2 linked regions of the Arabidopsis thaliana genome follow. The protein of the gene in region 1 interacts with the protein of each later gene in a pairwise test. Each region holds a gene or a part of one and is shown on either strand. Other genes may lie near its edges. The genes, in order: AT4G37850 and AT4G29930.

Region 1 (4,312 bases):
ATAATAAATCTGGAGCTAGATTCACATAATCTTCACTGGATCATATTATCATAAATACCCTTTTTTGTCTAGTTCCGTTGCAATAATATGTAATATATATATTATATATACACGATTCAGACGTTTTGCACCTGGATATAGTGTTTGTATATATGCATATGTACACATATTATCTATTGTTTTGTGAAATGTGAAACCATAATTGTTCATTTTTCGCATTGCGGATATAATATTTTTATTATAGCTGAAAGAAAGAGAAGGATAGTTATCCACTTTCCGAATCCACGATTTGTCCAACTTTGTTAGTATCCTATGATTATCCTTGTTGTTCTCTAACACGGAAGGAAAGACTTGGTCGTCATGCCGCATTCCTTGCCTTGATTATCCAAGTGATAATTTTTTTTTTTATTATGATTTTCTGAATCTAGAATGTCTTGGACTGGGTACTTTGTTGTATTTGACAGTGCTAATTTACCATATGTTACTTTGAATTCAAATTACTCTTACTCATAATGACAGTAATCAATCAAATTCAATATAAATTGCTCTAAATTTTTGTGCACCAATAACTTGCTCTAACTCCTCCCAAAAAATTATTACTACAAACTTTAGTGATTTGGTATAAGATTGAACAGACTTACAAAATATAAACCATATAATACAAATACATAAACGGAAGTGCTTTACATCTTTGGAAACAGCAATATAATACATAAAGGGGGAAAGAACCAAATAGAGAAAAAAAGAGAAGTGAATTTTCAACTAATTTAATCTTATTTATATATAGAATTATAGATAATTAACAGATAAGAAAACCTCCAATCAAACTTATAAAAAAAAAAAAACATTTTCATGGCAAACCACTTATGTTTCGTCCATGTGTTCAACAAGATCTCCCACAGTAGAAATTGACGAGAAGCATGAAAGTTAATACAATCATATGAAATTCGACAAAGCAGACCTTAAGCTCTTTACAACATCCATGAGTGTCATGTCGAAATCACTCTCCTTCTGAAAAATAAACATCAAGCGATGTTACTCTAAAATTAAGAACAAGTTCTTCATTTATATGTATAAGTGTATGCCTGAATATACATTTGCATACCTTAGCTATAATGGTGATATCAAGAGTTGGTCCAAAATTCAATACACTTGAATTAGTTATCAAGATATGAAGTTTCTCAATCTCGGCCATAATCTTGGCAAGATGACCCTTTTGCTTCTCGCAAAGGATCTTGATTAGAACATCTTCATCCGAGAATCTTACCTCGATCTCGGGAAGATCCAAGTCCGAGAAGCCATCTTCACAAGAAGAAGAGAATGATTGATTATTATCGTCCAAGATCAGCTTAGACTTCTTCACAAGAACCATTGATTCCAATCTTCTTTCTTTCTTCTGTTCCTCCAACTCTCCCACTCTTTCTTGGAGATACTTTATATGCTTTAATGCATCTCCCAACACAGAAGCCTTGTCCATCTATGCACGCAATTAGAAAAAAATTACACCTATAGATTCAAAAACATGTATTTTTTTGAAAAAGGTAATCAAGAAGGAAGATCTGATGGTATGTATACCTTTTTAAGGCCAGGAACTAGAGCGGAAAGAGCTACGAATCTTTGAGTAAGCTTCTCTCTACGTTTTCTTTCGGCTATTATGTGATCCTGAGCATTGGATTGGTTTCTTGAAAACGGTTGAGCCCTCTTGGTCCCTTTTCGATTAAACTCATCACTCTTCTGGTGTGGTTGCACTTGAGCCTCTAATTTTGGGCTAAAGATTGAGTTTAGGTAGGTGGGAGAGTACTCGTGTTCCATATCATTTGAACCATAATCTTCGAAAGAGAGAATTCTTGAGGAAGAATGACGGTGAATATGATGGGGCTTTGAATTTGGAGGAAGATGAGAAGAAGGTGATATGTAAGTTGTCTCAAGGATCTTTGGTGGTTTCATTTCGATCAAATCATCATAAGAGGGATCATTGTTGGTCGTGAAAGAGTGTGGAAAAATGTATTGAGCTTCTTGGACCTCTCCCACTATTGAGTTCATGTGAAACTGTTGAATTATGCTATTTTCTTCTATTTCCTAAAATATAACATCACACCCAAAAGAAAAAAGAACAAAAAACAATGAAAAACAGTCCCAGATGACAACATATATACATGAGTGTATGTGTTTATGCGCATATATACCTGCTCAGAAAACCATCTTGTGGATAAGATACTCATTGCTGTTGCCTCTGAAAATCTGAAAATGGTAAAAAGAATATTAGTGTATGATTTATAAACAAGAAACTGTATTTAACCAAGAAAAAAGATAAATTAGCAGATCATCTTGGGTTTCAAATACAAGATTTGACGTATAGTAAAAACCCAAGATCAAGAAACATTTAGTAAGGGTTGAGATTTATGTTTTTTGAATCACAAAGAAATAAAACTCACCAGCTTCTAGGAGAAGAGAGAGAGAGAAGAGAGATTTGTGTGTGAAAACAGTGGAATGCACATGCATATATGTACATGTATATATAGAGATGGACACACATATGAAGTAATTTGCACGTGTGAAAGGCAATACTACTCAACTTTCACACTAAAAATATTCCTTTTTTCTCACAGCATTTGGGTGTCAAAACTAATTAATTATATTATAGATTGTTTTATATTTGTCAAATTTCACAGGTTGTTCAAAGTTACTCATTGACGTATACAGTATTTTGAGGTCCTATTTGAATGAATATAAAAATGTTGCGGGCCGGAGACAAAAAGGGTATTCGTCTATTGAATATATCAGGTTTTTGAGTTTATATTATTAAGTGTATTTTTAGGGTTTCTTCTTAGAAACAAAAAAAATCGCCTCAATTTTTATTTTGTTTTGATATATGTTTACTCATCTTGTTTCCCTTGGTTTTATTTTTAAAAAAATATTAGTTTCTCCATAAATACATTTTTCAAAATGCATCCAAATTTGACATGAATTTATGTATCAGGTGTGGTATGCGAATATGAAACCAATTAAAAATCAAAACTGTTCAAAAAAATATTTTCTAACATCATATAAAAATATTAAACCTTATGACGCGCATCAAAATGTTGTTGGCCAATTGTAAAAACATTTGTATATAGAAAGCTTGTATTCAAATTCTGCTATTATTACTGAGTAATAAACTTATATATATAGTCAAGTAATTTATACTAAAGTGTCCTTCACTCACTATCTGAATATGTATGTTGTTGAAGAACCAATAAAAGGAAAGCATTCATGATTAATTTTCATAAATTTCTTATGATAAGCGAACTTATGATAAGCAAAAATAGACAGAAGATGACAGGAAACTTTCCATAATCAAATTGTGGGTCCAATTGAATATAATCTAATACATATTCCCATTAGTTTTATACTTTTCTCTTGTAAACTAAAAATGTGACACCAACCAAAGATCTCGCTACGATTTTATGGTATATTATATGGTATTGGTTACGACATTAATTATTTCCACGAATTTTCTTTTTTTCAAGAAAATTGTAAATTCAACAATAAAAAAAAGATTAAAGTATGATTTGAATTTAACCATTGGCGTTCTCTTCTAAAAGCTCTCATCTTTTATACACAGTTTGATTAAATGTGTGAATCACCATGACTGTCAAAGACGTTCGATTATGAACAAACAAAATCACAAAAGTTTATATTTTATTCAATCAGAATATTCAAACATTATACTACAAGTGATCGACACTAAGATAATTTTTACTTTCCTGGAACTCATGTGTCTTGTGTCTTGTGCAAACGTGCTACTCTTAATATATAATCGATTAGGTAAAAATAATCAATCAAACATGAAACTCTTTTATGTAAAGTTGATATTTTAAGTCAAGTATTTGTCGGAATTGTTGAACTTCATAGAAATGGTAAGCTAGGTAAACAAAATATACTTGGGATATTATAATCTAAGTACTAAAATAGAAATAAAAGCCAGTTCACTTACAACTAGATCTCTCCCTCTTTTCCTCCATTACTACGCCCCATGACAGAAGCATCTTGGCGCCTGCAAACCAAATTCAGTGTTTTACAAATCTCCATAAAAATTTAATACTAAATCCCTCGAATTTTATATTTTTATATAGTATTTCATTTCTCAAGATCTAAATACTAAATTAACTATAATATTATCATGAGTATATTTTACTCTATAGTATAAAATGTGATAGAGTATATATACAGTACATTGTACACATTTACAAATAGACGATTATTTTGTTTCTATCTTTTTCTTCTTTCTCTTTCACTCTCTCTCTCAAGAGTTTGTTACAGAAGATTGAAG
Region 2 (6,046 bases), 3.2 Mb from region 1:
AATCTGCAATTATCTGAACATAACTCCTTAACAAAGCCTACTGTCACTTTTATGAGTTTACTAAACATTTGTTGCCTAACTTTACAGATCAAATTGAAACAAATGGCAAGTCTCTCTATTTTGCAACTTACAATATGCATTTGATTCATGTTCATCAATTCAAAGACAAAGTATCCACAAAATCTTTTATAAAGTCATATTTGCTTTTTTAGTTTAACCATATTTCTTTATGTTTTTTTCTTCTTATACTCGGTTATGATTGCAATTAATTCAAATGATTTTTTTAGAAGTATAATTTTTAAGATTATAAGAAGGAACATGCATATTTTTGTTTTATTTTATTAGAAAACATCGGATGTTTTGTAGCTCAAACAAATAAACCCTCACAATAGTAGCTCTTCACATATATTGCATAAAACGGATTTAAGTAAAAAACCAGAAGTAAATTAGAAGTTGATAAGACAATTTGGATCATTATAAGCTGCGATGGCCATCTGTATCTTGGCCTCTACTGCACTGCTTTCTTCTTCATCCGCCTGCAAATTCAACGATTTACTATAATTAATACATCTATCACAATATAAACTAAAACAGTCCTATATTATTTCAATCATACGATATCTTTACAGAATTTTGAAGTAAATTAGGATTCTAGGAAGTCCAACGTCAGTATAGATTATTAAAATTAGGGGTGTTTAGGTTTTACACGAATCAGACAAAAAAAACTTCTTTTTTTTTGGCAGCACGTAAAAAGAAAATTAGAACTGATAAATTTGTGTATATACACCTGCACGCATTACTACTATAATTATTTCCCGTGGAAAATGAGATTGGTGGATAAATCATTGTTTAATGTTTTTGTATAATCTTTAAAAGGACGGATAAGGACAGGTTTGAAATGAAATGATCGACTTTTTATTTGATAAATGATTGGAGTATGATTTCACCAACTCTCAATGACTCCACTGGTCTATACCTCACTGTAATTTTAGCGTCTGATTATATTATCTTTTATCAAGAAAATGTTATAAAGGTGCATAATTCTTTTTTGTCAAAGAAAACCAACATAATATTATATTCATTTGTGAGGCAAGAAATACTCGTATTTGTTGTCATCAAAAATTTCCAACCTACAGCTTATAATATAATTACCTTTTTCAAAAAAAATAGAACGTTAGTTCACGAAACTAGCATTTTTGTAATTAGATTGTTTACACCAAAGTCCTAGTATATGATGATGATAAACAAATCAAATAGATAGAGATAATGAAATGAATTTGTATTTTTTAGAGTAAAAACACAAAATAATAACTCTTAACAAATCTGCTTATATTAAAAAGGACCAAACCTTAATTTCTACCATGAACTGCTATGGATATCATTTGGAGTAACTAATTTTTACCAAAATGATTAGCATAATGAAGACCTTATGAACCATATACAACTAGTTAACACAAATAACTTGCTAATTGGCTACAGTTGATTTGTAGCCTATTGTTAATTTGAGTTAAGAATTGATATAAGGTGTAGTGCTAGAAAAGTCACGTGCTAAAAGTGTGAAAGAGACAAACGTTGAACCGCGTGAGGTTATAAATTAGCCACGTTTTTCTAGTGCTACTATGCTTGGACGGCACTTTCTGGGACACGAGGCACTTGAGATTTCACACACTAATTTTTTGATTAAGTTAATCCTAATTTTTTATGGAATATGACATTTAACTTTTGAGAGAATCTAACCCTATCAGAAAAAGTCAAGGCGAAATTCGAAAAAAATGTGATGGGCTCGAGGCAACCTCAATAATTGGAGCTTTAATTGATTGATTAAGATATTACTGACTATATATACTTAAGGTGTAATGTGAATTAAGGTCCACTTAATGGAGACAGGTGGGAGAAAAGTAGTAATTAAATGGGTCCGTCTAAAGGTTATCCTTTTGAATTTGATAGTGATTTTCCAAACAATTCGTAAGTTTGAATTACATTTTTGTACTATTACGTAAAGATAACATATTTTCTTTACCAAAACAAAAGAACAATCCACTTTACTAAAGCACTTAGTCATATGCTTTTTATTCATATTATTAATTCTTGTCCACTAAAGGATTTGTCTACGTGCCGTCAGACGACCATTTTTCTCCCAAAATAACCAAAAAGAAAAGAAAATAGTAAGATTTGAATTTGGTATATAAAAGTCTGAATAGTTGCGACAAATTAAAAATGGACAAATATATTTGGTTGGTGTGTTTTATAGTCCGACAAGTGCATAAAACTAATTTTATAGCTGATTACAATTGATCTAACATTCTTTATTAGCAAGAATCTTCTAAACTATATTATCATCTCTTTCCATTAACATTTTATAATTTCGCTCCATGAGTGCAAAATGAGCGTCAAACCAAAACAAGACACGTACAGTATTCTCTAGATGCATTTAGAATTTTGTAGTTTGTACTAGTAATCACATTGCCAAATAAAGATATGAGAGAGGGAGAGAGGGAGAGAGTGACCTGGAGGAAGAGGGTGGTGGAGAGACGAGAGGTGAAGGAAGAGAAGTTAGTAGTGAGAATGTTGAGATTCAAAGACTCCAACACTTTACAAAGCTGCACCATTGTCTCTCTTTTCTTGCTACATGTTATGCATACCACTACCGTCTTCTCTCCCATCCATGTCACTTTCATCTGTTTTTTCATGTTTATATAAAAACAATTTGGAATAATTAACTTTACCTCAAAAGAAAGGTAATTTAGAATGTACTGCCAAATAATGCATAGTACGTACTTCGAGAACTTCAATGGGGTAGTGTTGTACTCTAGTACTGTAATCCATCTGCTTAAACTTTTTTGATCTCATGTCATTATTGTCTGAGAAATCTTGCAGATGAGTTTCCGCAAAATTGCAATCGTAATCTCTTACCGGATTTTCTAGCAATGTTGACCGTGATTCTAGCTCTCTGATCTCTGCTTCTAGAGTCTTCTCTTGATCAATAAGTTCTTGCATATAGTCGATAGAATCTTTGATGACAGATGCCTTGTCCAACTAAAAATAGATAAATATTAATACTTCAATAAAATCCAGTCTTAATCAACAAATCATCACACGTATACAATTATATGCTATCAGGGTAATTAGGGGACCAAAATACATTTTAGTATGGCTTGATATGGATTTAGAGTATCAAAAATTTGGTTTGCTTATTTGTTTAATGTTGGTTGGATTTGGTTTAACCAGATTGTATTTGTATAGTTTTATTTCTTTACAAAAGAAAGAAGAGAAAGTTTATTCGCTTATTTAATTTCTGTTGACCAAAACAAAAATTGCTGGTGACGAAACTTTATTACTAAATTATTTGGATAACAAATTAAATTTAAAAGAGACAGTTGATTAAACAAATAAGAGAAGTAATGGAATAATTAATCATACCTTGCTTATATTGGGAACAACTGACCGGAGAGCAAAAAGTCTCTGATTAAGCTTTTGCCGTCTGTTTCTCTCGGAGACAACGTTCTTCGAAGAAGCCGGCGACGTTGCCGCTCCGTCTGGCGAACTCGACTCGCCGGAACCCGAAAACGCTTCCTCCATCGGCCAACTTAAATTTTATAATTTATAACAATTTTCATTAATTACCAACTAAAGCAAGATTAATCTTTATCGGAAAAAAAAACTAAAGAAACAAAAAAAAAAAAAATGGACCAAGATTCTAGTAAGCACCTGTCAAATTCGAGTTCTTGATTCTGGAAGAACATTGTGGTTTCCCAGTAATTCTTGTACTCATGGTCGAGATCTTCCATTTTTCGGACACACAAAGATGATGCTTTCTTGAAATGGAAGGTTTTGTTATTTCTGTTTGTCCTTTCTTTCTTTCTTTGTGTCTTTCTATTGAGTGTACTATCAAAACAAGAGTGGGCCGAGGATTTTATACATAAAGAGTCTGACAGAGAGTTTTTAAGCACGTGGGATCTTAATCTCCTGAAATAATTATATACGATCTTGACCGTTCAATTCAGAGATCAAAATCTGTTTCCTTTTGTCCAATTGAAAAACAAAGAAAAGAGTGTATCGTATCTATCTCTTTCACTCACAATATGCATTATTCATATACTCAAATGGGTATAGACCGTATAGTACTTGAATTTAGGGCGTGTTCAATTCCAATTTCATTTTATTTTTGTGAGGTACTAGAAGAGTATCTGAGTATAAATGCAAAATTCTGTTCTTGTAGATATTAATCATTTGTTTTTCTTCTAATTTCGATCCTTAAAGTTAGAAGATGATGTCTAAGTAAGGAAAGAAGATACGTACTAGGTTTTTTTTAAACAAAAATAAAAGATACGTAGTTTCAGAATTCAAAGATTTAAACATAGGTAGACATCGTGGCTATGTGTATGCGTACGTAATGATTATGGCCAATAATGGTGATGATTAGTTGATTGTCAACTTTTTTTGCTAAATTTTATTGAAAATATAACCCACTTGGGTCCAGGATATTCTTTCATGTCCCTTGATTTGAATGCAGTAAATCTATGTTTTCTTCTATTATTTGTGGATATATATTTTCTTCTGATTTTTGAGTGTCTATATATTTATAAAATTCCATCTTCTTTAGATACTGTTATGAAATAAGTTGAGATATATGATTTTAACAAAGTAAGCTATAACCACGGACTTATCTAGCAATATTAAACACAAAATGTGACTGAAAAGCGAAATAATGTGGGGGTGATCCAAAATCTAAAGTATATAAAAATCAAATATCATAGACAGAAAATATTCATAGAATTAGATAATATAGCATATGCAATTTTATTCTACTGAATTGTAACTAAAGAAATATTGATTATTTAATGGTGTCAACTGAATTAAAAGTTGTGAAACGATTCGTAAAACTCTATTTATGATGGTGGAAATATTTTTTTCAATGGTTATGTATCATACATTTGAGTTCTCAGTTCTTTCAAGAATTTGTAAAACGTGGAAAGACATCAAGAAAACTGAAGACGGTCACTAAATCATACAACATACACATACTAAACAATACAACTAGTTCCACATTAATCCATTATACTCAAACTAAATCTAGTATCTATCTTATGAACTAAAAAAAAATCTAGTGTCTATCAATATGGAAAGGTTTTTACTTATATCGGCTTTGCTCCATACCCCGTGATTTTATTCAGAACTTTTAATCTGGATTAGAAATCCGAAAATACTGAGTTTGAGAAACAAATCGAAAAAAGTAAAAACTGTTTTCTCAAATCATTCGTCTCTCACTTACTAAACTCTTGAGAAAATGTGTAGGAAAAAGTTGTATTTTAATTGTATGAAATGAACAGTGTTTCGTTCCTTATGATATTGTTTTCACATTACTAAAGTCGTGGCTTGGATGGCCCAACATGATCTTGGTGATCAAAGATGATTATAATAAAATTATTTGCTAAATAAAATTATTTAACGTACTTATGTATGCTACCACGTGTATGGAGGATAGTGTATGATATGACTTGATATGGTTTTGGTTAAGAATTCATTAAAAGTCTTAATATTTAATTTATTTTGTATGCATAATCGTATTTCCTTTTGTTTATTAGGCTAATTAAAAGCTGTTCTATCTATAATCTTTGGAAGATTCATAAATTTTGATGACTCACCCACCTTGCAATTGCAAATGTATGGAATTGATTATATTGGGTCCAAATGACAACTAAACATTCCCAATATTGTCGGAGTCTAATTCTTTCGTTTCTTATTAAATATGAGGAAGTGTTTCTAGAAGAGTAAGAAGAAAATCGCAGTTCAATTTTGAAATCTACTTTTGTAGTAGAAAGCTGTATAAACAACATCCGTTCACGTTAGCTAGAATACGAAAAAATGTAACGAGTATTGAAACTCCGGTTCAATCTTACGTTACGATATCGGTTAACCAACTTCGACGACTTAAACCCATTCATCAAACAAAATGAACAAAATATGCCGATATGAGAGAAAGTAATTCGACTAAAATTCATTATTTATTTCAAAACATGCAAGAAACTTATTGGGCTGAAAAAAC

What was found.
Region 2: the proteins of AT4G37850 (region 1) and AT4G29930 interact in a two-hybrid assay, tested with the Arabidopsis thaliana proteins (one study listed by BioGRID).

The regions. Positions count from the first base shown.
Region 1 is NC_003075.7:17,795,426-17,799,737, forward strand, and holds AT4G37850 (basic helix-loop-helix (bHLH) DNA-binding superfamily protein), read right to left. Parts: upstream 2,477-4,312; 5' UTR 2,436-2,476; intron 2,280-2,435; exon of another isoform or gene 2,242-2,279; 5' UTR 2,223-2,241; coding exon 2,187-2,222; intron 2,080-2,186; coding exon 1,576-2,079; intron 1,478-1,575; coding exon 1,106-1,477; intron 1,012-1,105; coding exon 937-1,011; 3' UTR 647-936; downstream 1-646.
Region 2 is NC_003075.7:14,641,850-14,647,895, reverse strand, and holds AT4G29930 (basic helix-loop-helix (bHLH) DNA-binding superfamily protein), read right to left. Parts: upstream 3,903-6,046; 5' UTR 3,789-3,902; coding exon 3,709-3,788; intron 3,587-3,708; coding exon 3,421-3,586; intron 3,037-3,420; coding exon 2,779-3,036; coding exon of another isoform or gene 2,728-2,778; exon of another isoform or gene 2,679-2,727; coding exon 2,391-2,678; 3' UTR 537-2,390; downstream 1-536.